4 linked regions of the Lonchura striata genome follow. The protein of the gene in region 4 purifies or fractionates together with the protein of the main gene of each other region. This does not show direct contact. Links are inferred from orthologs where the notes say so. Each region holds a gene or a part of one and is shown on either strand. Other genes may lie near its edges. The genes, in order: KIFBP, KIF18A, EIF2AK4 and PPP1CC.

Region 1 (7,663 bases), on a different chromosome or scaffold from region 4:
ATCCAAATTCTACCAGGCATCAACTTTGGATTATTAAAGGGCTTTCAAAAGGGACCATTATTTTTGAGCAAATTTTTTTCTATTTTGAAATTAGCAAGTAATGCTCTAATTTGCCTTGTCCTATACTGCAGTACAACTTGTATCACTTGGCATAAGTATCACAGCAGCCAGTATAAAGCACAGAAACTCAAAATTCCATTGCATGTTTATTTCATGGATTACTTAACCTGGAAGTGGCACATGGGAGTAAGACCTGCCACGACATTAACACAATACCTCTTTCATGTACTGATTATACAAGGCTTCTGCAGATTCCAAGTAAGTTTGTGCAGTTTCAATTTCATCCCTTTGAGACCACAGGATCCCCAGATTGTTCTAAAGGTAAAAGAAAAAAAAAAATAGTCACATTCCATTTTAATCACACATTTTTTTCCAAACAATTCATCAGTCTTCATCCTTATATATATTTGTGTTCTAATACCATGGATTTCAAAAGGCAGAAATTGTACCCACACATTTCACTGTGAGTTGCTCAAAAGGGAGGGAGTTTTCACACAGAAAATTTCATATAAAAATGTACCTCAATCCTACTCTGTTCACTCTGCTAGAGAAGGACTAGTGTGTTCAAATAATGAGCTTTTTCCACAGAGTATGTTCTGCATCCAATTCATGCAGCTTTTACATCACAGACAAATGTCATAAAAAGAGACAAGAAATCAGAATTTTGTTAACATGACTCCACAGAAAAAATTAACAAGAAAAAAATATGCTAGGAATGAATGCTTGTATATTTGAACCATGGAAAGGATGAAAAGCACCTCTGAGGTCTAAAGGTTATAGACTACTGCCTTCAAAATTAAATTAAAGCAACTGCATCTCTGAACCCAACTTTAACAAAAAAAACCTCTCATTTTATTAATAAGGTGGTGTTTATAATAATCCTAATGATGTGCTAGTTTAAATCCTAGGCAGTGCTGTTACGAAACTCAAAAGAAAAAAAAACCCTAAAAACCTTCAAAATAATTAGAATGTACAGCTGTATGCCAGCCCTCTGCCCCTTTCAACTCCATTCTACTATTTTTATAAGAAAGCACATCCCATGTTGTTTATGAACTGAAACACTTTGCCGAAGGCCAAGCAGTGGAACAGACCAGACTCCATTAGGCAGAGACTGGGAAACACAATCTTATGCAAGAGCTCAGAAATCAGAAGTGGGGCTAAAAAAGAGGCCCAGCAGGAAAAAGGAATGCTTCTTCCTACAAAATGCCAGTCAGTGCCATGGCAACACAGTGTAGACACCTCACAAGGTGGAAAAGTACTTCCACTGATGGCAATCACTGCTTTAAAGTCAGAAATGGTTTAAAGTAAGTACTCAAGCCTGTTCCAGCCCTTGGGCTGAGGGCTCATTTCCCAGCGCTGTGCTCAGCTCCACCCCTCAGGACAGTGCCAGGTACCAGCAGAGCCAGCGCTGCTGGACCACATCTCCACATGCATAACAAACTCCGTCCTGCTGCTTCCTGAAGGCCCCGAAGCACTGAGGTCCTGCAGACTCTGGGCTAACAGAGAGAGAGAAGAGCTGCCTTCCAGCACACCAGTTCAGAAGCACAGTGGAATCTCTGGTCCTGAGCCACATCTCCCCAGGAAGGTGTGGGAAGATGCTATTTTGCTCCAGCTGGAGCAATCTCCTTACCTTCCCAAGGGTAACAGAATTGTAGCAGCGTATCCAAACCCTCACGCTGAAATACAAGGAGCAGATGCAACCTCACTGTCCCAGACAACGCAGCCAATTTAACCAGTGTAAGACAAGTGATCCTTTCACTTCCACCTTTCCATGTCAGCCCACAATTCCTTGACAGTTCGATGAGGAAGCACTATAGAGCCATCTCTAATTAGGGCAACCGTTTTTGACACAGATATCTAAATAACTGCTCTATTTCATATACTAGAAAACTATTTCATGGTCTAGAGTCAGATACCTAACCACCAGCTACCATGACAGAGGATCAAGTACGGGCCCTTCTGTGAATCCTCATGCACCAAGAACTAATTTTGGTAACAGTATTCCCTTCTTCAGAATAAAGAGAAAATATTATTACTTCAAGCACCAACAAAACTGTATTTATCCATCTGGGACAAAATGTAATAGCTTACAATATAAGAGGCAGTGCTGAAAAACAAACAATATATTGTTTCAGGATAATGCATCAATAAAGCATCCCCCAGCATCACTCTGACAACCAGCGAGTTAAGGAATCACAAATTCTGGACGTAGTGAGGTCTTTTTCTAATTTTTTCGGGCACAGTTCTTACAAGTTTTGTCTCAGCCTGTCCAGAAGAGCACGCTGATCTATCAACACCCAGCTTCAACGAGGCCATATTTCAGATGCTCCGCATGCCCAGAGGCATCAGCAGGAGGCTCAAAACAGAAAAGCACCCCTCCAACGGCCACCACTTGCGAACGACTCCTTCCGGCAAGAACTGAAGGCCAGGGCTGCTGTGTTTATTACGGTTAAACGAGCAGCAGCTGTCAGGACGCGGGAGCCCGGATCTCCTCACAGTCCCCCGCATAGAGCAGCCGGCCCAGCCCCCAGACACCAGGCCCCGCTCCGCCGGAGCCCCGCGCCCAGCCCCGCGGCCTGCAGCCCACCTGGGCCTGGATGTACAGGGACACGCAGTCCGGGGACAGGCGGTGCGGCTCCAGCAGCTGCGTGCAGCGCTGCAGGTGCTCCTCGCCGGCCGACAGCTCCTCGGTGTCCGTGTGGTTGACGCCCAGCTCGTACTCCAGCACGGCCCGCCGCACGGCCAGCACCGCCTCGCCGCCCTCCTCGGCGGCGCTCAGCAGCTGCTTCACCTCCTGCAGCAGCGCCCGGGCGCTGTACTTGGAGCGGTAGGGCTCCGTCTCGGGGTCCTTGAGGGACTCCACGGCCGAGAGCGTGCGGGCGGCGCGGAACTTCTCGCACACCGCGGGCCAGCCGGCGCCCGCCGCCATCTTCCCGCCTGCCCGCGCGCCGCCCCGCCCCGCCATGGCCGCGCCCCCGGCGGGCCGTGAGGGAGCGCCCGCAGCGCGGCCAGCCCGCCGCCCGCTCAGGCTGGACGCCAGCTTTTATGACAAAAATTTATTTCAGAACTCGATTTTTTAGCGCTGCTGAAGAGCCACGGAGCGGTCACTGTCCGTGCTTGGATGAATTCTGGTCCCTCGCAGGGCTGAGTTTCCAGGCACACCCACTGGGTCACATATGCCCTTACAGGCAGCAGCTACTTTGCTGGGCAGAAAAAAAAATCTCACACAACACCCAGCCATTTCAGCAAACATGATTTTTCGCCATCCTCAAAGACAAGGTTGCTTTATCAAGGAATAAAGACAAAGAGGAGGCTAACAGGTTTTTACTGCCTCATAAAATTCAGTTCAGTCCCACTATTTGTAGGGGAGATCAATCAAGTGCTCTGTTGAAGTCCCCGATTTCCGCTCTTGAACCAGCTGTTTCTCTTGAAGTCTCCTTGCCTGCTGTTCCCAAACCTGGAGAAGCCTCGTCCCCCCTCCTGCGGATACTCCTCCAGCTCAGGCAGCTCACTGGCCACCGACAGCTGCCAGCGCCGCGTGTCCCTCCACTGCTCCTGAAACAAGACCCATGGAACCAGACTTTATGCTAAGGCATTTCCAGACAAATCCCACTCCTGCCAAAACAGGCCATTAGATCCCCCTGGGAGACCCTCACAGTCCTGTGACAAAGGTTAAACAATCACAAGGGACAAGAGAGAATGAAGTCAACAGAAAACTGGTGAATTCTCAAGTACACTGGAGAGGCCAGACCACAGAAAAGCCAAAGACCTTAGAATTTTGTTTAATGAAATCAAGTAATATCATGGAAATGAGAAGAGGCATGGCAGGGTATTTTCTAATGATTATGCTGTGCTCTTTCTAATCACTCTGTTGCCTATGCAAAATTCTTATTAAACCACAAACCTCCCTAACCACCCCATACTCAATCTTATATGGCAATTGCCAGTTTTCATATCACCAGGTTTTAAAGCCAGCTCTGGCTACACAAACATACCTGTATACTACTTAGTTCATCAACAGGGATATCAAAGCACACGCCCTAAAAAAACAAACAAAAAGAGGCACTGATTAACAATGAAAGAATAAAAGCCTCAGTAACCAATCCCACTACATATTATTTCTGATGCTTTTTTTTAGGAGGCAATTCCTGCATCATCATATATGAGTACTATCTAATAAGTCTTTTAAAGCCCTCAACTAATATCAAAGCCTTTTCTTTTCCCAATAGCATATGCATAAACAGCATACTCATGCTAGGTTACCCATTTCCTGAGAAATGAGATTGAGTAGGGACAGTGCAGTACCAACATTCTGTACCAATACTTCAGAACTCCAGCCTCAATCCCTGCACAAACTGGCGACATGTGAACACACACAAAGCCCCACATCCCTTCATTGCCAAGGCTGGGCCACCTTACCATCTTCCCCTTGAGGAAACGCATTGCAGACACTTTGTTATCGACCTCCTCCCCAAGCTGCTCCTTCAGCCCCCGCCAGGCATAGCGCATGCTATGCATCTCTATTGAACACTTCAACACCATGGTCACAAAGCCCTGCAGGAAATGGAGAAAAACGTTTATCAAGGCTGAACGTGGTCAAACCTGCTGCTAGAAAACAGATTAAAAAACCCAAAGTGATAGAAGAATTACAATTCAATCAGACAGTTACGTGCAAAATGGGGTTACCACACAAGGGCCTAGGCCACATCCTCCCTAAATACAGATCAGGTAATCACAGGCTGTACTTGCATTACGACAAATGTAGAAGATTCTTGATAAGGGGGAAACCACAATAGCACAAACTAATCTATTTGCTTGTAAATTGTCATTAATTGTAAAATGTCATTAGTTAAACTCTCTTAGAGCATCAAAGTTTTCTGCCACTTCAGCCTCTGGAGAAATTCTTTCCATTTTCATCACAAGAAAGTTTACTGATTTTAAGTTTCTCCTGGAACAGCTGATTTCAGCTAAGGAACCTGGGGACAACAGCTATTCAGAAACCCAGAAGGAAAAGCCTGGGAATGAGATGCCAGACATGGCCTAAACACAAGCAATTCATGCATCCATCCTTTTTACCAGGGGTACATCATTACTTACAGCTGTTGAGTTGAGCAGGGAGCGCTGCTGGATGTGAGCTGCCCCAGAAATGTGTGCCAGGGCTGCAGCCAGGGCAGCCACTGCCCCCTTCTCATTTATCAGCTCCTCGGCCGATTTTCTGAAGTAGTCCACTGCAGCAGGAGGAACAGCCTCCAACAACCTACACAGTTACAAGATGGGTTTAAAGAGATAAGAAAAGGCCATTGTGAAGGGCAGCCATGTTTAAGATATACCCTAAATCAGTCTTTTCTGAAAAAGGTAGGGAGGGAAAAAAGATAGGAATCCAAGAAGAGATACTTCTGTAATGCTATTTCTGGTACAACCACTCCCCCCATCATTTTTCAGTACACTGTGAACCCAAATACCATGCCCATCATCTACTTTATACTGGTCAAATCCTCACTAATTATAATAACCTGCTTCAAGGCAATTTCCACCACAGGGCAGCAAATTTAAACAGAGCTGCATGATGTAAACAGAGCCACAACCCTCAGAAATAATATAATGAAACAAAAGTCAGGGCTAAAACACCCTCACTACTGCAGAATAACTCCTCATTATACCAAGTATTGCTCTTTGCGCACTGCTTCCACCACGTCATCTGAGCAGATAAAATCATCTTCCCCTCTTGATAGTAATTCCTTCTTCTGTCACTGATTTCTGATTTTATAAACAAAGGTTCGTTTGCTGCAAAAACTTAGAGAACATTATGTTCTATGAAAATGTCTGTGTTCAGCACACAGAGCGTTACTGATACCATCTTATGTTTGCTATACACAAAGCAGCTGACTTCTACAACACAGGCAAAGCCATGCTCACATGTAGGCCTGATCCCTTAAAATTGTGCATTAAACTCTTAAGCATCTAGAGCAACAACATCTCTAAATCTTTCTCAAGAACAGGCAAATAAACTTACTTTTTGGCATCACTACTTGAAGCTTTAATTACATCTGTAGCAGAGGGAACACCCACACGCTTAAAGGTAATACCCTGAAATCAAGAAAACAAAGGTATTTTCAGCAGTCTACAATTCAGTCCTGTCTAAATTATGTAACTGAGATCTCTACTTACTGTTTGCAAGATCAACATACTCTTTATTAAGTCATTTCTAAAGTGATAAAAAAGCTTTTAAGTTCCCAGCTTTGTTAATCTGGAGTTACTTCACTCCAATGTACATGCACACTGTGATGCAAGGCACACAGTGCATGTTGCACGGGAAAACTCAGGCAATGCAAGAACAGGCCAACACAAAAGCATTTACAAACACCAAATATCAGCACTTTGGGCCTACTAGTTTATGGCACTGGACACTCCCATTCTGGACTCAGCAACCCACGATTACCAAGTCCAAGAGTGGCAGGGTCCTTTCAGGAGCTGATCCATTTCCTTAAGCAGAGCTCTGAGGTACAACTCACCGCTTTGTGCTCGACTTGCTTCAGAAGATCTTCTTCTCTTCTCTGAAACAAACAAATGCAGATGCCGGTCCGGCCCGCTCGGCCCGTGCGTCCAGAACGGTGGATGTAAGAATCCACATCCTTCACAAATTCAGATCAACACGAGAAAACTATGTTATTTAAACTGCTGACATTTCAGATTAAACACAAGCTAAATTCAAACTCAGAAGCCTAAGGAGTGACACATTATGTGTTTATACCCAAACTTACAATTACACATAAACCACTCAGGATTGCATGTGCTCCCCCACCCAAAGTATGCTGCTCAGCTTTAACAAACACTGCTGACAGACATTTTAAGTTTTCTAAATAAAATGTTCCACTGGAGTTGCAAAAGATTAAAAAAGCAGCAAAAATATTTTAGAATTTTTATGAAACTCAGCAACATGCAGAAAGAATTCAGGAAAGTTTCACAATGTCAAAACCTGTGAGTTTCCAGAGTAAACAAAACCCAAGACTTTAATCAAAGCTCAAACTGAAAAACTGTAACTATGAAATTTTAGGCCTCACATTTACAAAACATTAATTAATTCAAAAATTAATTGGAACAGAACATACTTCTGATGAAACAAAGGAATAACCCACTATTCTGGCACCAAAATAAAGCTAATCCAATTTTAGTTTCCTCTAATGACTTACTTTTGGTGGTGAGCACTGTATAACAAGGTCAACCTCAGGAATATCCAAACCACGGGCAGCTACATTTGTTGCAATCAGCACTTCGAACACACCATTTCTGAAGCCTTTTAATGTGATTTCTCTCTGTTTCTGTGGAATGTCACCATGCAAGGACTGGGCATCCTGTCAATAAAACAAGCCATTAACATGACATTTAATGGGAGTCTAGGCTGCAGCATCTAAAGAGTAACTGCAAACCTCAAAACACTGTGCACAGCAACAGAAAATAATTACATAGCTGATACCAAAGGAATATAAAGCATCCTACTTTATTTGATCCTTCTCTGGGATTTACTGTGAAAGCAGCATGGCCAACAAGCAGAAATTATTGCTGCAATTTTTTATTGCGGATGGTACATAGGCAAACCATGTAT
Region 2 (7,235 bases), on a different chromosome or scaffold from region 4:
TGTATGAAAATCATGAGGGTATCTTGTGAGATAGTTTGTGATTGATAGGATATTTTTAATAAAGCATTTTTTAAGTTACTAAAATTTAAAATGACATCACAAAAGTCAGGAAAAAAAAATTTAGTTATGGCTCCTCTTTTTCAGCACCACACCTTTTGGACATATTCTTAGTAATTTTATTCCTGGTATTTCTGTTATGTGCAGAAGTGGAACACATGTCTAGGTTCACTTCTTCCCTCTATCCATTTTTAAAAATTTTTGAATAATGTTTGTTTTCAGGGAAAGTTTGTTTTTCTGCTCTTAATGGCCTGGGTCATAATTTCTGTTGCTATGTTTGACGTTTCTACAGTGTGAATTCGGTAGCAGTAATATTAGTAATAACAACACCCCAGCAGATAAGAAATAGAAAACAGAGGGTTTAATAGTCCCATCACCAGAACACTTTTTTCATGTGAATAACACGTGCCTGAAACAGCTATCTTAAATGACATGAAATTAAATTAACTAATATTCAAATCTTCCAAGTCTTCCATACTTGTGGAATTTGGATTTGGTCCTTTGCTCTTGCTCAGTCTGGGGCTGGGCTGTTATGAGACACCTTTTTTTTCTTCTTTTGGATCTGCTACTAGTTCAATTGTCTGGGCAGTAGAGCTGTCAGGTAACTGCATTTTCCACTTCCCCTTCTGCAGCTCAGAGGAGAAAGGGGGATGGACCTTCTAGGACCAGTGACCTTCTCTACACCAATCCTGCCTCTTCTCCAGAGAAGGGCTACATTTTTTCGGATTCATTTGGCTTTCTATGGGATTGCTACTTGTACAACCTTGAAGGTAACTTTGAAATCAGGACAAGCTGGCTTTAATCTTTATTGTTGAAGCCATAAAAGAGCTTGCTTTAATATTTTCAGTAATGTTTTCCCAAAATTTATTTTCACGTCAGTACACTCTCTTCACACCCTCAATAATTCCACTGCCTATTCTCCAAGACTTAAAATAACTAGTTGTTTCTTTAGCTTCCAGCTCTACCTTTGGGAAGAGTAGCAGATTTTCCTCTCATTAATTCACTTCCCATTATTTAATCTCAGCCATTTTTATTGTCAGTTACATGTCTTATTACTATGCTCATGTGATAGCTTTCCTAGTCATCACTGACCATTTTTATTTCAGTTTGGCATTTTCTCTTTAATGTCTCTTACTTTTAATTTAACATATACTAATTTTATTTTAAAAGATCATCAGTTTCCCAGTAACCTATTTTGCTGTCTTTCATCTCTTCCTGTTCATTCCTCAATTATGAACTGTAGAGACTATGGACAGGTTTTATGGGATATATATTATAAAAGCAGGCTTTTGGCTGTGAAAATAAACAGAAATTTAAAAATTCATCAGAATTAAATGAAGTGGAAACCTAAATCCACATGCTAGGCAAAGACCCTCATTTGTCTTGCCATACATAACATAGATTTTTCTTTAAACAGGCCTTCACCAAGAAAAATAGATGTGCTGACCTCTTACCCTTAGCTCTATCAGAGGACATGCAGAAATGTCTCACACTCCATAAAGTGTGACCATACACACTTAAAGCTAATATTATATATAAATAGTATTTTTTATATGTAAGTATAGTATATATATCTATTTATATCTATTGTATGTAATACTATATATTGAATTATATATACTAGTATTATATATTAAACTAATACAACTATATAATATATATTGTTAATATAGCTATATTTATTATATTATGTTATATTATGTTATATTATATGCTATAATTATTTATAACTGCCTCTCACTCTTGTGTAGAAACATAATAGTCTCTCACTGGAGACTATACTGTTTGGAAGAATCCCCACCAACTTTCAGACCATAGAGAGGTGGGTTCAGTTCTCGTTGTTAACTCTGTTCCCTCGTTTCCACTGAAACATGCCTAACTTGAAATGGGAAGGTTTACCTGTCAGTTCTGCTGTGTTAATCCTTTGTTCTGCTGCTTGGAGAGGTCAGTGGGCTGTTTGAACAGGGATGGTGGTACAGCTGCTCTGGCAAACTGCACTGATGCCACGCTGCAAGGCTCAAGGGTTATGCTCCCCTGAACTGACCCAAAGATCTCCAACAATTCCCGCCCACAACCACCGCCACTTCCTAGCCTTTTGTTCCTGTCTTTGCCTCACCTCTTCACTCCAAATGCCACTGTCTGGGTGCACACAGTGACTGTTCAGATATTTTGATAGCATGGCCATGAAATCACAAATCGTTTCTTCTCAATTTCAGTAACTGTTTCATCCCTGCTGGGTTAAATAGCATCACTTACTACCTTCTGTAGCTTCTATCTGTCTGCACAAATGAGCAGGCAACATGTTTTGCTTCAGATACGAGCAAATTTTTGGGAAACTGATCCTTGATTCCAACACTTACTAATTTAGAAACAGATAATTTTCAATATAAGGTTTTAATTATGGTCTCATTTATGGCAGTTCTATTATTGTAAAATTGACAAATCTCTTGGATAGCCAATATTCTTATGGGCAGCATGACTTAATACATGTTAAATACTACACATTTAATTTTACTGATAAAGTCTGAAATTCATGTCATCTCACAACCTTACATATTCTTTCAATCAAAAAACTCTCCTTCTATGTCTGCCCCTTTCCACACTGCTAGAAATGGCAAAATCAGGCTTCTGAGATTCCCTTTTTCTCTTTTTCAAGTGAAATGCAAAGGTTTAAAAATCACTGGAGAAAACAGGAATTCAAGCCCTATATTATTTACATGAGTAAGAATTCTACAGATGGAGCCTGACATAAAGGTGATTCAGTGGCGTGGGTTAAGAAATTTCTCCAAACCTTTTTACACAAATAGGAATATCTCATCTAGTGTTTTTCTGAGACTTTTATATTGTATTTTGAGTAATTACATATTTCAGGTATTTTCTTTATGTGTGGACTTACTGGAACTGACTTTTCATTGAGCAGTGAGGTAGACTGGTAAAATCTAATTTGTAGTCTTTGCTTCCAATACAGACTACAGGGACTTTACAGTAATTCCCCCAGCTTAAATTTGCAAGTGCACCTCACTCTAGCTTTGGGCAGACACGCAGGTGTGTGTTTCACCACAAGCCATAGTGTGCCTACAGAAAACACATCTATGACCATGGTGTGCTCTGCTGGTTTTGCCCGGGCTGGAGTTAATTTTCTCCCCAGCAGCTGAGCTGGGGCTGGTTTGGATTTCTGCTGGCACAGCACGGAGGAGACACAGCTGGGCAGGAGACCCAGATGCACCCAAGGGATATTCCAGACCAAAGGACACGGTAATCCGGACAGAAACGCGGGAAGAGGACGACTGGGGTGGTGGCATTGGTGTTCCCAAGTGACCACTGTTATCTGCGATGGGCCCCGCTCTCCTGGAGATGGCTGGACCAGGGGAAGGCATTCCTTGTTTTGCTCTGCCTGCCTGCACAGCCTTTGACTCCCCCGTGAAACTCTCTCCACTCAGCCGCTGTTTCTGCCTTCCCACCCTTCCCCTTCTGTCCCGGCCCCTCTGTGAGGGCGAGGAGCGGCTGAACGGGACCAGGGCCACCATCCCCTGCCCGGCCCGGGGGTGACGCGAGGGACTCCGCTCACAGCCACGGCCTCCTGCCCACGGGAGATCTCAGCGGCGAGCACGCCGGCCGGATTTCATTTCATTTCTCTAACAGTGCTCGCCAGAAGGGAACCGGGCCCCACTGCAGGCTGCCGCCCTGGGATCGGCCCTGCGCTAAAGCAGCGAGGACAAAATCCCCGCCCGAAGCACTTTCGGTCAGAGCCGACCGGAGCAGCGGCAGCGGCCGCGGCCCGCGCCGGGCCCGAGCGGGAGGAGCGGCCGGGGGCTGTCCCCGGCCAAGCCGGGCCGGGCCGGACCGATACGCGGAGCAGAGGCCGCCCCGGGAGCGCCTCCCTTCCCTCACGCCGGCCGCCCTTCCCTCCGCGCCCTCTCTTCCCTCCCCGCGGGCCCCGCCGCCGCCCCCCGCGCGCCCGGCCTCACGCACTTACCGCCGGCGCTCCGGTGACGTCACAGGCCACAGCCAATGGGAAGGCGAGGAGCGCGGCCTGGCCGGGTTTGAATCCCGCGGCCGGCGGATGGCGGTTGGTGCTGGTGCGGCCGCGGGGAGAGCGGAGCGAGAGAGCGAGAGAGAGAGCGGGCACGGCCCGGGGAGAGCAGAGCGAGAGAGCGAGAGAGCGAGAGAGCGAGAGAGAGAGCGGGCACGGCCCGGGGAGAGCAGAGCGAGAGAGCGAGAGAGAGAGCGGGCACGGCTCGGGGAGAGCAGAGCGAGACAGCGAGCACGGCTCGGGGAGAGACGGAGCGAGAGACGGAGCGAGAGAGCGAGCACGGTCCGGTGAGAGACGGAGCGAGGGAGCGGGCACGGCCCGGCGAGGGAGCGGGCACGGCCCGGGCACGGCCGGCCGAGCCCCGGGCACGGGGAGCGGAGCCCCGGCCGCAGGCGGAGCCCGGCAGCGGCTCTGCGGCCGGCCCTGGAGCGCTCCGGCCGCAGGGCCCGGCCCGGCGCCGTGCCCCGGGGAGGAGCGGCCCGCGGGGCCAGGCGCTGCCGCGGAGCCGGGCGGGCCGGCAGCGGCTCGGCCGGGAGAGGAGCCGGCCCTGGGCCGGCAGCGGGAGCTGCGCCGTGTCCGCCGCTGGGGTGAGCGCAGCCGCTGGGAACCGCAGAAATGGGATATGCGAGGAAATCCCGCTCGTGTCGGTCACTGCGGCCCGTGCCGGGCACCTTCACCTAAATCCCGCTTCAGCTCTTCAACGCTCCCTGCGACGTGGCTGTGTCTGTCCAGGGAGGGCAACACGGGAAAGGCTGCTGGCTTTAGCCCACAGAAACGTGGTGTCCGGTCTGAAAGCTGGGTCTGCTATAGAGGGAAGCCTGTAGGGCATTGAGTATTTGAATTGTGAAATGAACTTCAGAGTTCCCTGGGGCAGTGCTGGTCGGCTTTCTGAGAGCTGTGCTGAGTTCAGTCATCCTTTGGGGCGCTTACAGAGCTTCCCAAAGCCTCGCTGCCCTGGGGCAGTCCCATGACAAGGGATGGGCCCAGCACAGGGCCCTGACCGAATGTGTGAATGGCTGGAAAGAGTGAAGGCTCATATTGAAATAAATGTTCTCTGTGTCAATTGCAGAAAGGATTCAGCTGCTGGATCTGACCGAGTGCTGGCAGTGAGGCTGGGGAGCAGGAGGGATGACTCCAGCCAGGGAAGATGTCTGCAGCCATGTCAAAGTGGTGGTCCGTGTCCGGCCAGAGAGCCAGAAAGAAAAGCAGGGCAGCTTCAGCAGGGTGGTGCGTGTCATTGACCAGCACGTGCTGGTCTTTGACCCAAAGGAGGAAGAGGTTGGCTTCTTCAGCAGAAGGAGAGTGATCCATAGGGATATCAATAAAAGACAAAGGAAAGACCTGAAGTTCATGTTTGATGCCATTTTTGATGACAGCTCATCCCAGTTGGAAGTTTTTGAGCATACTACCAAAAATCTAATTGATGGCTTCCTAAATGGATATAACTGTACAGGTAACTTTGTTATTTATCTTATTTAATTGAAAAACTTACGGGGATTTCTCAACATTTGTACCATTCTGTCCAATAGCTGCAGGAGCGTTAAAAAAGCCTGAGATAGAAATAAAGCATTGTGATTTAATTCACAGATATGAAAGGCTGACATTTTAGCATATAGAAGTTAGATAGCTCTACTCCATTTTAAAAATAAGTTTGTGTTAAGGTTATAATAGACTTGGGAATTTTATCTAAAATATATGTGATAATGGGAGTCCTCTAGAGTTATTCAAGCAGAAGCAGTTGTGTCACTGAGTGTATGACATAAGCTGCTTTATGAACTCTTTAAGATCTTGGGGCTTTTTAATTGGCTGCTGGACTCTGGTGAGGAATTGAAATGCCTATCAGCAATAAGTTGATGGCTTAGGGTTATGAGAGTAAGTAAATAATATTTTTATGTGACGTAGCAGTGAATGAATTTTGAACTGAAAATTCGAAAATGTTATTTGGAAACATCTCTAATTAGAGATCTGAAAGGTAAAGTTTAAGTAAGAAACTATCTATTTATGAAACAGTTGTGCAGAATGACAGAGGTCTATAAATGTTCTTTTGTCTTTGGTGTTCCTGATTAGCTTACAAATAAGTTACATGTTTTTGTTTTGTCGTTGTTTGGGGGAAATTCAGTGCTTGCATATGGTGCAACAGGAGCTGGAAAGACTCACACAATGTTAGGTTCTCCTGAAGATCCTGGAGTCATGTATTTAACTATGGTCACACTTTATAAACGCATGGATCAAATAAAAGATGATAAAACATGTGATGTTGCTGTCTCTTATTTGGAGGTGAGTTCCTGCATTTTATATGTTGCTTTGAATAAGTCATATTTGTAAGTAAAGACAAGCTGGTTTTGCTTTCCTCTGGTCCTTTCTGGGGCTTGACAAAAGGTGTCCTTATAGGAGTGGAACTGCCTTGTTGGTGTTCCTTGTTGGTGATTTGTGTTCCTAGGCACCTATCACTGTTTTACAGAATGCTGCCCAAAAAACACCACTTCTACCATACTTACTGATTGTTCATGATTTGTGTCTTGCCTCTGAGCATCTGTTGATGTGTACAAGGAAATATCATTTCAGGGTAATATTTTAGGACTTCACAGTAACATCCTGTAATACTGTGAAAAAGCACCACAAAATGGTCTTCTGTTTTTACAAATAAATGTTTTGGCACTGTTGCTGAAGGGTGCTAGTCAAATGGTTATCTTTTTAGCTCCTTCAGTGTCTTAATGGACTCTAGTTGGTACTTGGGAGGGGTAGAAGGAGATGGGGAAAGTTTGCCTTGCCATATGCTTCTACAGACCAAGAAATAAGAGATTTAAAAATTTTAACAGAAGTAGGTTTGAACTAAGAAATGTCACTGAAGTAGGGATTGTGATACACAATGGGGAAAACCAAATGCTTTGCATTCATGCTTGTTGCAAAACTGTTTTTTTGTAAAAAAAGGTAATTTTTTCAATAAAGAATAAAGATTATTTACTAAAAATAATTACTCCTAAAATCTAAAAAGAAATCATATGAATTGAATATTTAAGCTTGGTATGGGGAAAATGTAAAAAAATTATAGCCAGAATTCTTTTCTTTGTCCTAAAGGAGTATTAAAAAAGACTGGTGAATTCTGTTTATTTAATTCTGTCAGCTATGGGAAGATATTTTTATA
Region 3 (7,392 bases), on a different chromosome or scaffold from region 4:
TAGTTGTATTTCAGGAACTCTGTGGGACAGCAACAAAACATAAAAAAGTCCTCATTAGGAAAATTGAGTGCAAAAAGTAACAGATTGTTGATAAAAACTGTGTGAGGGAAAAGGAATGGTATTCACAGTTACTTGGCAATTAGTCAATGCTCAAATAAGCAGAATATAAATATTACATATACAAGATAAAGTCAGAAATATGGTATTATATTCCCAATCATCAAATTTTCCAGTTGCCGATTATTTCTTGATAACACTTATCAGCAGAACTACCAAAGAAACACTACAGACTTAATAATTCCTGCTCTTAACCATTAACTTATTGAACAAGTCATTTACAACATTACTAAGACAACATTTAGATGTTTAAAATTTATTTATCACCACTATATAGATAACACAAAACCTAAGAAACAAATGCAATAAATAAATATCAGCTATATTTAAAAATATTTAAAATAAACAAGGAAAATGTAGGTGTGTTGTTTTAAACTAAAACAAAAAAATGAGTAGCTGTTACATCCTTGTTATAGAGTATAACTGAGCTATCACTTAATAAGGAATAGCATTTCCCTTCTACAGCACTCATGCCACAGCACAAATGGATGGACTGAAGGGAGTTATGTTTTGGACTATCAGTGGAATAAGGACTAAACAAAAGAGCACACAGAGCAACACTTAACACAAAAATCACTTGCCAACACAAAATGCTGGGGTAGGCTGGTCACCTGCAACTCCTACACTCTCTATGGAGAATTCTTCCAAAAGCTAATCCAACAGATGGCTTTAAATAGAAAGGAGATTCAGTCTGTCTCAGGTGAAAGAGTCAGGAGTTCACGAAGTTTAACAAGGGCACTAAGACAGTGGCAGGTACACCTGTGGTCATGTACCGCCAAGCTACAAACTGGGGCTGCACTTCTGCACTGACACACTGATCCCTATTATTCTCCATTGCACAAAAAGACTAAATCCAATTCAGGTGCCAAAGTTTAGGGTTGCATATTATAAAATACCCCAGGCTTAATAAATACTGATATGTAGAAAGCAAGACTAAGTGATGAATAAAACTACATGTCTTTTCAACTTACACTTTGCTACAGAAAGCAGAGAAAAGAGGTTATAATTTAACATTCACTTACGTATCAGGGTAAGTATGTGGACACTTGACCCACAGGTCAACTTTGGCATATACTTCATTAGCACCGGTCAATCCCTGAGGACGCAGAACTAAATTAATTTCAGGAGGTTGTCGTACCTAAAACACAAACCAAAACTTCTGATTGAAAAGGGTTGTTTGGTTTTGCTTTAATAAAATCACACAGCTCTCAATCTATATTATAGTAGAATACAGCTTAGACCATCCAAACCATTGAAAAAATACATTAATATGTTGACATTGCTTAATAGGTGTGGTCTGGTCCACTGACTATCATGGTATATCCAGTATATTTTTACAAAGTCTTCAGATAAGCATAGTTACAGCCATTAGAAAGATAATTCAGACTGAGCAAAAATTAGATTCTATAATAAAACTTTTGTATTCTGCTTACTGTTAAGACAACAGTAGAAAAAAATAAATAAACTTAACACAGGTTATTTATATCACAAATTAAAGCATTCATTATAACAACAGCATTTTTCATTTGTGTTTAGATTACTAACCCAGGCATTATTTTACTTTCTGACATGGCAGCAGACCATAATGTCACACTGATCTACACCTTACACAGTCAAACAAATGGACAGTATTTTTTTTTTTTTTTGTAGTTGTATTTTGTGTTTTGCCATAAACCAGAATTTTAATAAGCATTGCCTTTCCCATCCCTTCCCTGCTCAAATTACCTACTCAAAATCAGAATAAAGTAAAATACGCCCATATAAGTATTCCCAACTTTTTCTTTTCAATTAGGTTTAAAAACAAGCAACAAAACAACCCAGCCCTCAGCAACATGAAAAACAGGGAGTGAAGTAAGACTACATGTAATAACAAATACAGAAACAGATGGTAACTGTCCCCTTTGCTTTTCCAGCAAGGAGGAGATCATGTCAGGTGAAGAGGGTATCAGATATGACCTTCAATACAGAGTGAATATTTCTGGAAACCCAACAAATTACTTAAGTATTCTTACCAAACTTCAAAAAAAGAGAAAAAAGTCATAAGATGCTGCAAAATATTTAACTTCAAGTCTCTGACACAAAAGAAAGCAGAGGATATCTTATAGACATTCAAGATGCAAGAATGCAAAAGGAAACAACAGTAAAAGTGAACCTGTGGAACAGAATAGTGACCATTATCTCCAGATACAGGAAAACAGTATCATGGACACAGTTGGAAAGGAAATATCAATTTGATGGGGACCCAAAAGACAAATGGAAGAGAGTAGTGAGTACCAGGCCTGAGCTGGTAATAAAAAAACCCCACACCCATAAAAATGAAAGCAAAATTATTATCATGGAAATAGAGGCATTGCAACAAAACCACGGTATATAATAACTATAATAACTATATCATCATGTATACCGACGAGATTAATTAGCTGAGCAAGTATGTAACTAGTAGGTTAAGGAATTAATTAAGAGGCAATATTTAAAAAGCCTAACAATTATTTAGAATGCAATTCATGAGCACGGGTGTGATCATAGAGTGAGCGCTGCTATCTCGAGAATCAATCGCAAAGGGGGCCGGTTGCAGGGCTGAGGGAAGGACCACGGGCACGCAGCGAGAGCCGCGACACGTCGGGCAAGGAAGGCAAGGAGCGGCCTCAGCCGGGCAGCGCCAGCCGCGTCCCCGCCGCCCTCCGAACCCGCTCCGCACCGGCCCCGGCCCCGCTCGCTACCTTCCAGGCCTGGCTCTGCCGCAGGTCCTGGAAGTCCTGCCCGTAAATGGACTCCAGCACCTGGAGCTCGTTCTCCTGCCGCAGCTGGTAGCTCTCCGGCGGCTCCGCGGCGAGCTCCGCCGGCAGCTGCCGCCCGCCGCTGGCCCGCGCCATGTCAGCGGCGGCGGGGGCGCGCAGCGGCCATGGCGGGCCCCGGTGCCGGGCTGGGGCTGGAGCCGGAGCGGGCCCGGCGCCGCCTCCGCCGCGGCGGCAGGAGGAGGAGCCGGGGCCGGGGCTGCCGGCGCCGCGTGGGCCCCGGTGGTTCGTCCGCAGGAATGCATCGAGCTGGAATGGGCCCCTAAGGATCGCCGAGTGCAGCGCCCTGCTCCTCACGGGACTCCCGAATACTAAACAGTGACTAAGAGCACTGTCCAAACTCTGGGACGCTTGGTGCCACGGCCACTTCCCTGGGAACCTGTTCCGGTGACCAGCCACCCTCTGGGGTGAAGAACCTTTCCTAATGTCCAGTCTGAACTCCCTCAAGATATGCCTCCAGGTATATCTGCATTACAGGGATACACAGCAAAGACAGTGAGATACTGTGTAGTTCATTTAAAACTGATACTGAGAAAGAGTTACAAAAGGAAAACACTAACCACGGATTTCAGTATAGATTTCATGTAGAGCTAGATTTCATGTAGTTCCTGTGGAAACTGTAGAAAAGTTCCCACCGATAGTTGCTGTAGTGAGTAATAGCAGGTGGAGGGCGAACAGTTTTTTGTTGAACTGCAAACAAAAAAGTGAGGGCGGGTGTGCTTGGTGGGACCTGCCAGAGAGAGGCAGCTGGGGACTGTCAGGGAGCAGTGACAACCAGAGAAGAAAATGTGCTTTCCTTCGGTCACTTCACACCGTAATTACTGAAAAGGACTGCCACGAGAGGGAGCCTTTAAAGTTTTGGAATCTTCATAAAGAAACCCTAAGTAAATTCATACATACAAGCTTATCCATTAAGTAAAGTAATCCCCAGGCAAAGAAAAGTGTTACAGTAGTCTGCAGCTTGCTACCACTCACCCAGATGTAGGAATGGAGTTTTGGTGACTTTGACTTTACTCCCTGACCCTTGAGTACAGATATTTTGTTATAAAGAGACCACTCATTTACGCTAATGACCAGTTTCTATAGCCCTCAATTTGTACTTCTGAAATTGAAAGCTTGTTCCACCCACACTTTATCTTTCAGTCGCACTGAAACAACCTCGTTAGTATCAAACCAAAAACAAGTGTTAAATTGTATCACTATTGTGATGCTGGTCTCCGTTCCTCACCATTCCTAGAATGTGTCTTTAGTGGCAAGGTCTTTCTAGCTCACCTGCTTTTTGGTGGGAAATGCATGACCAAAGATGTTTATAGTGTTTACCAACAACAGAGACATACTTTTTTGCTCAGTCATCTGTGTCCTGGGGCACTGTAACTGATCACTGGAGTTTCCTCTGGTACAGCTGGGTATAGTTATTATCAATTTGTATATAATAGATAAAAAGTTTCCCTGTGTTAAAGACTGGAAATAAAAGTGTCTAGGCCACAGATTCATCTTCTCTCCCACACAAATACACAGCAAGAATGACTTGGTGATATAGTAACTAAGAAATGTCAGCAAAATTTCCTTTAACAGCGATTATAGGTTTATACTTCCCGAGCATGTGGTGTGGGGCACACAGCCCACCACATGGGAAATTTCTCCCTGTGACACTGTATAGCAGTGGGTGGGCCAAATAAGGGTATGCCTTTTAAAGCTGCCCGACTTTCCCATACTTTTGTGACTTGACAAAATTTTAACCAGTTAAGATGAAGTGCTCTAGACCAGATGTCTACCTCAAGCTATTTTTTCTCCTTAATTGCTTTTATAATGATTCATTGTTTCTAAGAAGAAAGCCAGAGTAAACTAACATAATCATAAAAACATTCTGAGAATTTGTTTTTAAAAGTCTTGTACTCCAGCAGGAGTGTGAAAATTCGATGAGGAAGAGACAACCTTTTTCAAGTTCTGTGGCTTTGCTAACTAACCTTCTGAAAATCTGCATGAACTAAACCAAATTACATTACTGCAGGGAGTATTCACATGCTTAGCACCATTTTACTGGAATATGATGAACATCCACCTGCCTCAAACATGTGCCAGACTGCATCTGGACAGAAGCTTTGCTTCCAAGATTTAAGGCAAAATTTAAAACTCTCTCCCACAACATTAAAATTTAATTCTAGCAAATAAAATTTAAATGATTTGTGAGAATGTGCTTTCACTTCCCCATGTGCACAGTGAGGGGAAGTCAGTCTTCCTATGAAGTGCAGGAGGGACAGAAAAGGTTCCGAGTGTTAAGAGTAAGAAATTTGGCAGAAAATAAAACCTCTTGCATTCCAGCTGGTCTCCAGAGATCAGAGGAGCTGCATTTACTTACAGCATGGTCTAAGCAGAGTGTTGAATAATACAGTCATTTTTGTGGTAGCATGTACTTCATTAAGCTTATTAGCATATGCAGATGTGAGTTTGTAAATATTTAAATGACTTTTAATCAGGCAAAGATTTCTTTTTTGGCCATGGTGTCCTTCAAAGTTCCAGTCATGCAACATACTTCTGTTCTGTTCCATTCCTAAGTCAAACCTGGACCATCCTATGCCCACAGGACCTCTTCCTTTAGAAAACTCAATCTTTCTTGACTATGCAGATCTGTGCAGACATCGCATCAGATACACAGTAAGCATTGCCTGCCTCCTTAGTCATCATTCCATACCAATGGAGGAACTGAAGAAAGGGATGGCTGTGTGAGGAAGAGCACCTTGCAGGTGACTGGGAGCTGAAGGGACTGAGGTCAGACTCTGGTTACAGACATTGGCCACAAGAATGCTGGAGGCCAAAAGGAGGAAGAAGCCTGTTCAGGAAAGGAAAGATAAGGGGAAAGCATGGTGAAAGTTGCTGATTATTGCTTGGAAAGTGGGGAAGAATGGGACTGGGTGGACAAAGTGAATGAGTGTGTGGAAGAGGTAGGAGGGTGAGTGAGTCAGAGACATGACTTAGTAGAAAAGTGGCTGGAGCAATGAACTCCCAGAGGAATGAGAGAAGGCTTCAAATGCCTGGGCCCAAACACATGGAGGTACAAGCAGAGGTTTGGCCAACAGCCTCCAGGAACTGCAGTGGAATGGGACAATGGCAGTCTGATATTCCTGTGGTCAGCAAATGCCTTTGAACACATGGCACAGCACCTAGGTCTGTCCTGGATCACCAAAGTTCACATCGCAGGAGACTGGGCATATGTCACTGAACACATAAGTGTTGGGTCCCTGAGGAAGCAGCGCTGTGTAGGGGCTGACCACATGGGTAACTCGTCTTCCTGGGGCACTTCCAGACTGGCGGCCAGTGGCTGAAAAAACCTTTTTGGCTTAATTTTCAACTAGCACCTCCCCAACACCTCCAAATTAAAGACAATCGTGTACCCACTATATGGATGCACACCATCAATGCCCGAACCTATTACGTCCACTGACAAGCTTTTCTGGAAAATTACTCATCTAGAAAAAGATCTATTTTAACAAGCAACATGCGTATCTAGAACCCAGCACCGTATTTTGACAGTGCGTCATCAGAATTAGGGACCTGTTTCAAAACACCGGTTTAAAACGCGCCCGCCCGCTCCCGCAGCCCCCGAGCGAAATGGCGGCGCCGCCGAGCGCCGCGGCCGCGGTTCCGTGATGGCGGCGCGCCCGCCCTTGGGAGCGCGGCGGGCCGGGCGCTCCTGCTTCGGCCCGGCTCGGGATCGCCGCGGGGTTTGGCACTCGGGGCCGCAGAGGCTCGGCGGCCGCTCCGGGATGTGGGAGCTCGGCGGAGCAGGGGCGCCGCTGCCAGCCGCGCTCAGTGCGGGCCGCGCAGGGATCGAATGGAGCCGCCTCGAGCGCCCCCGCCTTGCGAGTCAAGCCCCGGTTCCTCTCGCCCAGAGCAGCGGGAGCGCCGCGGCAGCCCCTGAGCAGTCCCTGGCCTCTCTGGACGCTGTGCTGGGGTCGTAGCGGCGTCCGGCGCCGCGCACAGCCCGCAGAGAGGCGGGAGGGAGCGGGCAGGAGCAGAGGAGAGGGCGGAAGCAGATGTGTTACCGGGAAAGCCATGCTTTTCCTCTCTCAGGGCTGTGAGCAAAGCCAGAGCCAACGCTGAGAGTGAGGGGACAGAGTTGGTGGCCCCCACTCTTGCAGGCCGGTTTTGCTGTGCAGTGAATCCGCGGCCGTGCGAGCGTGTGACCCGCCGCGGTGCGGGGTGTGATTCTGGGGACCGGGATCCCTTCTCTCGCATATTGCGGTAAAACATGCTGAGGAGACCTGTGGCGGTGTGAAGTAAAAACTATGGCACAGCTGATGGGAAGGAGAAGCCTGGCTTGTTTTCTGCTTTTGTTTGCTGGCTGTCATGAGTTACAAGGTGAAAAGACGAACAGTCAGCCTGCTTCTCGGGACGCAGGAATGTGGTGAAGATGCCTCCGAGAGGCAGAGACCGGGCTTTTATCCTCAGAAGCGTCTTTTGACCTGTGCGCTGCATTCAT
Region 4 (7,715 bases):
CCACGTGAGGCTGCAGCCACACAGAAATGTCCCACATGGAGCAGCAAAGTGGGGCTTTGAGTGGCTTCTACTTGTTTTGCATGGTCTGCTCACATCCCCCTGTGCCACTACATCCAAGTGAGCTGTGCTGAGAGTTGCTGACGCTGCGAAGGGGAAGTTGTGCTCACCCCACCACAAACTAGCCGGAAAAGGGGCAAAAACCCCCTTTGCTGGGTGTTCAGCACTGGCTGCTGTCTGTGTTTTTTCCTTTTCCCCTCTGAGAACAGCTCAGCTGAGCCCCTGTGGAAGCCCACAAGATCTTTCCAGCTGGTTATGCAACTCCCTTTGGCCGAGCAAAGGGATTCCTGAGGAAGAGGGGAAGACAGGGCTCCTCTCGGTGCCAAAGCGGCGTCAACTGATCCGCCACGGCTGCTCTCCACTTAAAGCAGGACAAAGCCTCCTTTGGAGCTCTTTCTCCTCTTTCTCCAAGCAGCAGAGCAGATGATGGCCATGCTTTGCCCAAGGATGCTCAGCCATGGACAGGACACATCAAAATGGCTCTTGTGCCTCATCTCAGAGCTTTAAAAGTCAGATTCAACTGAGAAATTCATCAGGAGTATGGAATATGCTGGGTTTTCCTAATCCAAAGTGCTGCAGCAGGAAAAATCCTATAGTGGTCACTGCTATATTGGGAAAAAAAAAGGGACTTATGATATTTTTAAATGAGAAGGATTTTATTGATAGTATTTTTGTGAGCATGAACCTTCCAAAATTCACCAATAGAATATTTTTCCATTTGAAAGTACCTTTCACCAGAAACCCATGAAGTACAACAACTTCTAATAAATAAATTTTTAAAAACCCACTAGGAGGAGAGGAATGGCAAGTCATATTTCTCCCATGTCAAAATTACCTGTCTCAAAATTTTCTGAGCTGAATTTTTTTAACTTTGGTATCCAAAAAATGGGATTTTAACAAGCTTGAGATGGACTTGCCATTGATGTTGACAGCTTTTGGGGGATGGTTTCAGATGGAGACCGGTTGTTAAGATTGGGAAACCATCAGCTTGGTGGAAATCAAGGCCTGGCTCTGTTATGCAGGGTACACCCTTGAGAAGAGTGTAAGGAAGTCTCCAGCAGGAATCCTGCTGCTGGCTGCCTGGGAATGAGGTCTCATTCCATTTCTGCACAAGGTTTGAGTCCTTGGAGAGCCCCAAGGCTGTGCTGGAAGCTCAGGAGCAGCTGCCAGCCCCGAGCTCCTCGCCGGGTTCCGCACAGGAACGCGCAGGATCCACAAGTTTTGTTGCTGGAGGGAGATCGTGGCACCGCGCGTTTTGTAAATAAAACACGACACTAAGAAAACTCCTGCCTGTGCGTCATCAGCTCCCCTTGCAGCAGGACACAGACCCTTCCATCTCCAGATCAGCCTCACAGCTCGCTCCGGCTGCTTCTCTTTTGTCTGACAAATCAGCGCCACCCACCCTCAAAACCCTGCTGAAATTTGGGGGTTAGCAAAATATTTTAGGAATGAAAAGCAAGAGTGTGCATGAGGCTTTATCTCAATTGTAACGCCAGGCAAGCTGGGTGCAAACAGTAGGAGTTATGAAAACATTGGAATCCTGGCTGTGGAGCGAGTTAGGAAAAATAACACCTGACCTACAAGTCACCCATTCTTGTTTTAGCAGTGTTTGGAGAGCCCGTGTAGATCTTTGTTTGAAATGTACACAAACACACTGAATTTCATGGGCTTAGCAAATATGTAATCTAAAAGTGTGGGTGCTTCACATTTCTCAGGATCCGCCTACAAACAGGGATAAATCAGGGAAATGTAATTATTTTTTGTACATATATACACATGTATGTTTGTGTACATGGTGTAAATATGTATTATATTGTACTCACAGTATATATTTATATATATGTACAGAACAATACTGAAATCTTATTTTTCTCTATATGTAGGTGGATATTATATGTATAATTTATATATTCTTAAACTTAACCAGATTATGAGCAACAATACAATAATAAAGCAACACTTGCAAGAGAGGGCAAGGACAAATCACTGGGGAAAGGTGTTTTACACAGAGGTTTCCAAGGAATGAGACCAAAGTGGTGATTTGTGGAATTTAAAGGGGGGAAAGGAGGAAAAGACCCAGAGGTCTCAGAGCCATGAGCTGTGAATGATTTGTACTGAACAAATTGTTAATCACCATGTATTTTGCTAGTAAGAAAGTAGGAAAAGAATTGTAGACAAATTGAAAGAAGGGGTGGAGTTGTTGGTATATGAAGCGTGAGCTTCAAAATTATGGAGTGCTTCAAGCCCATGTGCAAAATTTAAGGACAAAAGGATTTCCCTGGCTGTTCCCTCTCTGGAAATAAATCTGTTCCTTCTCTAGAAATAAATCATTGTTGTGAGCAACACCAGAGAACAAAACAGCTTCATGATACTTATAATGCCTTGGTTGGGTCCCTTTTCTAATCAGGGTGTGGGGCGAGGCTGGTTATTTCCTGCAGAGAAAAGCTACCTTATTAAAAAGATAATTTTGTAGTGGCATTTTAATATAACTCTGGCTCTCCATGGAGTTTACTGATAAGGAAGGGTCCTTTTTTTTTATGATAATGAGAAAGACCCTGTGCAAAAATCCAGCCTGCTCCGAACAGGACACCAAGCATTGGCAGCTGCTGTTGAGATTTAGAGCTGGAACAAGGCGAGTTGGTTATAAAGGTGATGACGAGGCCTTTACAGATTCACCTTTATCTGTCATTTCTCTTCTTTCCTCCTGGCTACACCTCTTTTTACAAGAATTATCAGTGCTCTGGACCTTGCCTGATATGGTTCAGCAAGTGAGACAGATTCTTTGCCCTGACCTTGTTTTGAAGGGCCAGTTCTGTCCTTTCAGAAGTATGGAGTTTCCAGGTGAATTCCCAAGTACGTTGTCTGGGTTGACCTGGGTTGCTAAACTCTTCCCCTCCATCCCATTTCCCAGAGAGTTAACAGGAGTGAAAAGTACTCAACACCCACTAAAGGTGCTCAGATCCCCAGAGAACTTGTCCCTGGAGAGGAGATAAGAGCTGAAGGGTGAGATGAGATGAAGATATTTACAGAAATGAAAACAAGGCCAGGAAGGTTCCTCTGGAAACACAGGACCAATTTTCCTTGTTAAATAGTTCAGCTAAGTCCAAGAGAACAACTCGCCCTGCAGAATTAGGAAGGATTTGAAAGAGAAAGAAAGTATTCGGTGCAAGAGCCGGAGGGGCCCTTCCCCGAGAAGGTGCAGCACAAAAATAGATGTAAATCTGCAAAGGCTGTCACGTTGAAGCAAATCTGAAGTAACTCTATTGTTTTCCATGGGGTTACTTTGGGTTTACACCAGCGTGACTAAGATTAGCATATCAGCTTGGGCGTGCTCCATACGATAAGTGTTCGCTCGGGGAAGTGGAGTGTTGAGGCTGCTCTTGCAAGGGGCCTGAGCCTGTGTTTCAGGTAGACTCTGCATCCTCTTATCTCCTTCCTCCCGCAGACCTGAGGTGTGCTGAGACTGCAAGTCCTTTGCTTTATCACCCGCACGAATCCGAACTCTGCTCCGGCCCCACCACGGCAATGAGCTGCAATGAAAATTGTATAACTGCTGGCAAGGAGGAACCCGACAGGATAGTGGGAGCAATCCACCCAGGGAAGGGAGGGGACGAGGAAAGAGCTCGACACAGCCAGCCCCGCAAATTAAAGTAGGAGTAAATAAAGCAATAAAACAATATTCAACTCGAGGTACAGACTGAACGGTGGGGAAGGCTCGCACAGCCTGTCTCCTGGACAAACACCATCCAGTTTAAACCTCATTTAAGTGCTTGTAACCAAGCTGTAGCTACATATAGAATAAAATAATAAAAGTGTGAAATAAACAGCGAGATGCTTTTGAACGAGGAGCTTCATTCCTTCATCTGCAAGGACTTGAAAGTGCTGTACGTTTGTTTCTTGAAGGATTTGCAGGTGCAGAGCCACGTGTCTGAAAGTGCTCAGGAGCTGAGGAGCTGCTCAGGACACCTTGCCTCAACCCGTGAGGTGGAGGTGGCTCAGTGTGAGGTGAAGGACATCACGGCTGTGCTCCCCCAACCCTGAAGTGCCCCAAAATCCCACCTGAAGCCACCATCTCCCCCACATGTGGGTGTGAGGGGCAGTGAGGGGATGATGTGAGGGCCATGGTGGCTCCTTGATGTCCTCTGCAGATCCCAGTCTGCAAGAACGCCACAAGGTGCAGACCTTTCTCCACAGAAAAAGGTGATCAGACATTGGAACGGGCTGCACAGGGACGTGGCAGAGTCCCTGTCCCTCAGGGAAGGACTGAATGTTACACTCCTCGGTGACATGGTCTAGGTGACATAATGCTGTTCGGTTATAGGCTGGACTCGACGATCTCGCAGCTCTTTTCCATCCTAATGGATCCTGGCACCCTGCGACCGCCACCACTGATTCTGTCGCGACACCGGGAGGCGGCACCGCCGCACTACTTCCCGTCCCGGGAGCGGCAGGATCCCGCGAACCGGGCCGCATCACCGCGCCCGCTCTTCCCGCCCGGCCTATGAAGGGTTTCCGACGGGCCGCGTCGCGCTCGTTCGTATCCGTGCGCCAGGCGAGCCCGCTGAGGGGACGGCGGCCATTTTGTTCAGCGCTGGCTCTGTGCTGAGGGGGCGGGGGGGGGAGCGGAGGGAGCGAGGCGAGGCGCAGAGCAGGAAAAGGGCAAAAACGAGACAGAACGAGGAGCGCAGTCGGGCCGGCCAAGCCGCGAGCGGAGCGGCGGGGAGGGCTCCGCCCGGCCGCTGAGAGGCGATGGCGGATATAGACAAGCTCAACATCGACAGCATCATCCAACGGCTGCTGGAGGGTGAGGGTCGGGGACGGCGCGGTTGGGGGGGCGATGCGCCCGGCAGGTCTGAGGGGGCACTAAAATGGAGGGGCGAGAGGCGCTTTGTCTGCCTGGGGTCGCCGCCTCCCCGCCTGGCTCGCCCCAACTTTCCCCTCAGCCCGTGTGGGTTTCCGAGGCGTTTCTGCCTTTTGATCCCCCGGTGCAATGCTGGGACCAGCCGGCTGCCCCCTTCTCGTCCCTTGCGGTTCTAAGGGGATGCTTAATCTAGTCCTGTGGTGGAATGAGGGGATGCTTAATCTAGTAGTATTTCGTAGGAAGGGCTTTGAAAAAGCCTGGGGTGTTCTCTTGCCTTTCACGCATACACATGGGATCAGTGCATGGCTGGGTAGTGGCGGGGCTCTGGAAATAAGACTCGGCTTGTTTAAAGAGTGTTGAGGCAGCTTTTCAGCAAGTCGGGAGGAGACTGCCGTGGGTTTCAGTGTATGCTGGCTTTAGCTTTGATTAGCTGCTTGCATTAAAGCTGCCACAGGATTTTGGCTCTTAATTCGTAACATATGGTGGGATTTTAGGTGTGAATAGAGGGTTGGGGTTTGGTGTTTCAGACAGTCTGAAAAAGGGCTTATTGTCTGCTATTGTTGGTGCTTTGGGATGAAAAGAGTTGCCTGGGAGTTTGTAAATCAAGGGAAAACCTGGAAGTTGCAGGGGGTGTCTCCAGCATCATCCCTTCGCTTGCAGGGATCAGCACTGGGCTGGGATCGACTGATTTTGGGGCAAAAGACTGAGAAGCTGCCAATGACAAATTCTCTTCCAGGCATCAAGGAAAAGCATAATTATTCAAAGAAAGAAGCTATGCTGATCCAGCCTCACTTCACGTGTGCCAGGGCAGCATCTCATCTGGACTTACTCTTGAAAAGCTTGGTCAGGGATTTAACTTTTTACCATTTGGCACACAGTCAGCTGAGATGGTGCTGAGAAAAATGATGAAGAAATGTCTTTTCTTGCACACTTTTCCTTCTTACAGGATTTTGCTTGTGTAATGCTTAGATAGCAAAAGGTCAGGCAGAGGAACAGAAATTCTACTCTAGAAAATTGGAGTTAAAAAATCCTGTAGATGAATTATGGGATTACTGAATAAGTAAAAGTAAATGGGGTTTTTCCTCTGATCCGGTTTGGGTTTTGCCTGTTACCAATTTAAACCGCCCTGGTTTCAATTATTTAAAGACTTCCCTTCATAAAGTTAGACCAGGATTTTCCTGAAAATCCAGTAATACAACTTGTAAATGTCAGGTCTCGTATGTCATATGTTTGGTGACATATTAATACATGCTCAGTTGAATTGCACTCATTAGTTATAGTTCTTACTGATTTCACTTACTGTAATTAATGCAATATTTCCAAAGTGTGAACTTTAATTTTTAAAAGCATGGCTTAGACCTTTCCTAGAAAGAAATGCAAGTGATTTCTCTGTTTAAAGTTTCAAAAGGTAGTAAGACGTACTATGTCAATGTGTTCTGCTCTTGCTCAGTTTATATCAACATTAGATGGTTGGAGCAGATAAGAATTCATGAATCAGGCTTCAAAAGGTTTACTGACATATTTTAAGAGGTGCTTCGTGCAATTGCAGATGTTACCTGAGGTTGCATCAGCTGCCAGAACTGAAATTAATTTTTTTCCCTTTATTAATACAGCAGCTGGGATTTTGGATGCCTTGAGGCAATGATTGTCTTTCAATATTTAAAACAATTACTGGTGTTAGTAACCTGTGCTAGTGCTTTATTTGTTGATTATTAAATGTCTGTTCTAAATGTCTTTGCCAGACAGAGAGTAATGACTGACCTTTGTGAGTGTCATTTTTATACTTCTTTTTCCTAAAACATGGCTGCATTTCAGCACACACTGCATTTTAGATTTAGATCAAAGAAATTATTGGTTTTCAGTGCAGTTCTGGTAGAACAAGTGCATAATGTTAGTTACACAAAGTGTGGTGTGCCCGTGAGCTCTGTGTCAATACCCCTTTAGACAAGGCTACACACAGATTAAAATCATACTCAGGCATAAAAACACTGCAAAATCTGCTTTAATAATCAGCTCACAAACTGAATTGCCCAAATCCTTGTGCAAGCTGTAATTTTAGAGCTATTTGGTATTTCATTATAGCTCTCTTTAAACTTTAAATACTTACACATTTTTATAGCAGCTAACTTTAGGTGATTTTGGTACTAAAATTTAAAGAGTATGAGCAGGGGGTTTAGCCCTTTCTAAGGGTAACAAACCCCAGCACTAATGAAATACTGGAAATCAGTGGGCAGGTACAGTTAGGTATTTGTTTTATCATGGTCCTTAGCATTGCCCTGTTAGAAGAAGCAGTGAATTGAGTCTAATGGTTGAGGTAGAGTGAAGGGTGAATAATAAATTATTCTTGCTTTTGTCCTTAATAAAGGGTATTAATAATGTATTTGTGAAGGATTTTAGTTGCTTTCTATCCTGACTCCTCTGCTCAACTGACATTATTCCTACTTTTCCCTCAAATAGGGATGTTCTCCCACCCACATTAGGCTATTTAGGTGAAATTATTATCTTTTTCTTTAAAAGGCCTGGAAATATATACTTCAGCTTCTCATTCTAAGGTAAATATTTGAAGAGTCTTCCTTGCTTCAATTGTTTATAGTACAGAACCATTTGGCATTGAGATGTCACCAAAAAAAAAAAAAAAACCCACCACCATTTTTCAGTAGCATTGTTCTCAACCTGGGAAAGCCATTCAGGGAAAACATTGAAAATACTGGTGTGTTTTTTTATTATTATTATTTTTATTTTTCTGTAACCGAATTTGTATTTTTTTCCGTTCTTTACTGATGAGGGTTGTGTCCTG

The links.
Region 1: the proteins of PPP1CC (region 4) and KIFBP purify together in Homo sapiens (affinity purification with mass spectrometry; 3 studies listed by BioGRID and IntAct, counting the BioPlex papers as one, with this or other methods). This does not show direct contact. The link is inferred for Lonchura striata from reciprocal best matches to the Homo sapiens genes PPP1CC and KIFBP.
Region 2: the proteins of PPP1CC (region 4) and KIF18A purify together in Homo sapiens (affinity purification with mass spectrometry; 4 studies listed by BioGRID and IntAct, counting the BioPlex papers as one, with this or other methods). This does not show direct contact. The link is inferred for Lonchura striata from reciprocal best matches to the Homo sapiens genes PPP1CC and KIF18A.
Region 3: the proteins of PPP1CC (region 4) and EIF2AK4 purify together in Homo sapiens (affinity purification with mass spectrometry; 3 studies listed by BioGRID and IntAct, counting the BioPlex papers as one, with this or other methods). This does not show direct contact. The link is inferred for Lonchura striata from reciprocal best matches to the Homo sapiens genes PPP1CC and EIF2AK4.

Annotation. Positions count from the first base shown.
Region 1 is NC_134609.1:34,940,918-34,948,580, forward strand, and holds the start of KIFBP (KIF-binding protein), read right to left. Parts: upstream 3,018-7,663; 5' UTR 2,990-3,017; coding exon 2,648-2,989; intron 376-2,647; coding exon 277-375; intron 1-276. Other genes in the region: nucleolar RNA helicase 2, read right to left, coding at 3,436-3,615, 4,056-4,100, 4,480-4,614, 5,158-5,317, 6,074-6,147, 6,573-6,692, 7,251-7,412. UniProt on the Homo sapiens protein: Activator of KIF1B plus-end-directed microtubule motor activity. Required for organization of axonal microtubules, and axonal outgrowth and maintenance during peripheral and central nervous system development.
Region 2 is NC_134608.1:61,993,986-62,001,220, forward strand, and holds the start of KIF18A (kinesin-like protein KIF18A), read left to right. Parts: upstream 1-4,222; 5' UTR 4,223-4,377; intron 4,378-5,030; exon of another isoform or gene 5,031-5,159; 5' UTR 5,160-5,218; coding exon 5,219-5,543; intron 5,544-6,209; coding exon 6,210-6,367; intron 6,368-7,235.
Region 3 is NC_134608.1:32,223,876-32,231,267, reverse strand, and holds the start of EIF2AK4 (eIF-2-alpha kinase GCN2), read right to left. Parts: upstream 3,019-7,392; 5' UTR 2,991-3,018; coding exon 2,838-2,990; intron 1,256-2,837; coding exon 1,140-1,255; intron 20-1,139; coding exon 1-19. UniProt on the Homo sapiens protein: Metabolic-stress sensing protein kinase that phosphorylates the alpha subunit of eukaryotic translation initiation factor 2 (EIF2S1/eIF-2-alpha) in response to low amino acid availability.
Region 4 is NC_134620.1:11,979,154-11,986,868, forward strand, and holds the start of PPP1CC (serine/threonine-protein phosphatase PP1-gamma catalytic subunit), read left to right. Parts: upstream 1-4,696; 5' UTR 4,697-4,806; coding exon 4,807-4,861; intron 4,862-7,715. UniProt on the Homo sapiens protein: Protein phosphatase that associates with over 200 regulatory proteins to form highly specific holoenzymes which dephosphorylate hundreds of biological targets.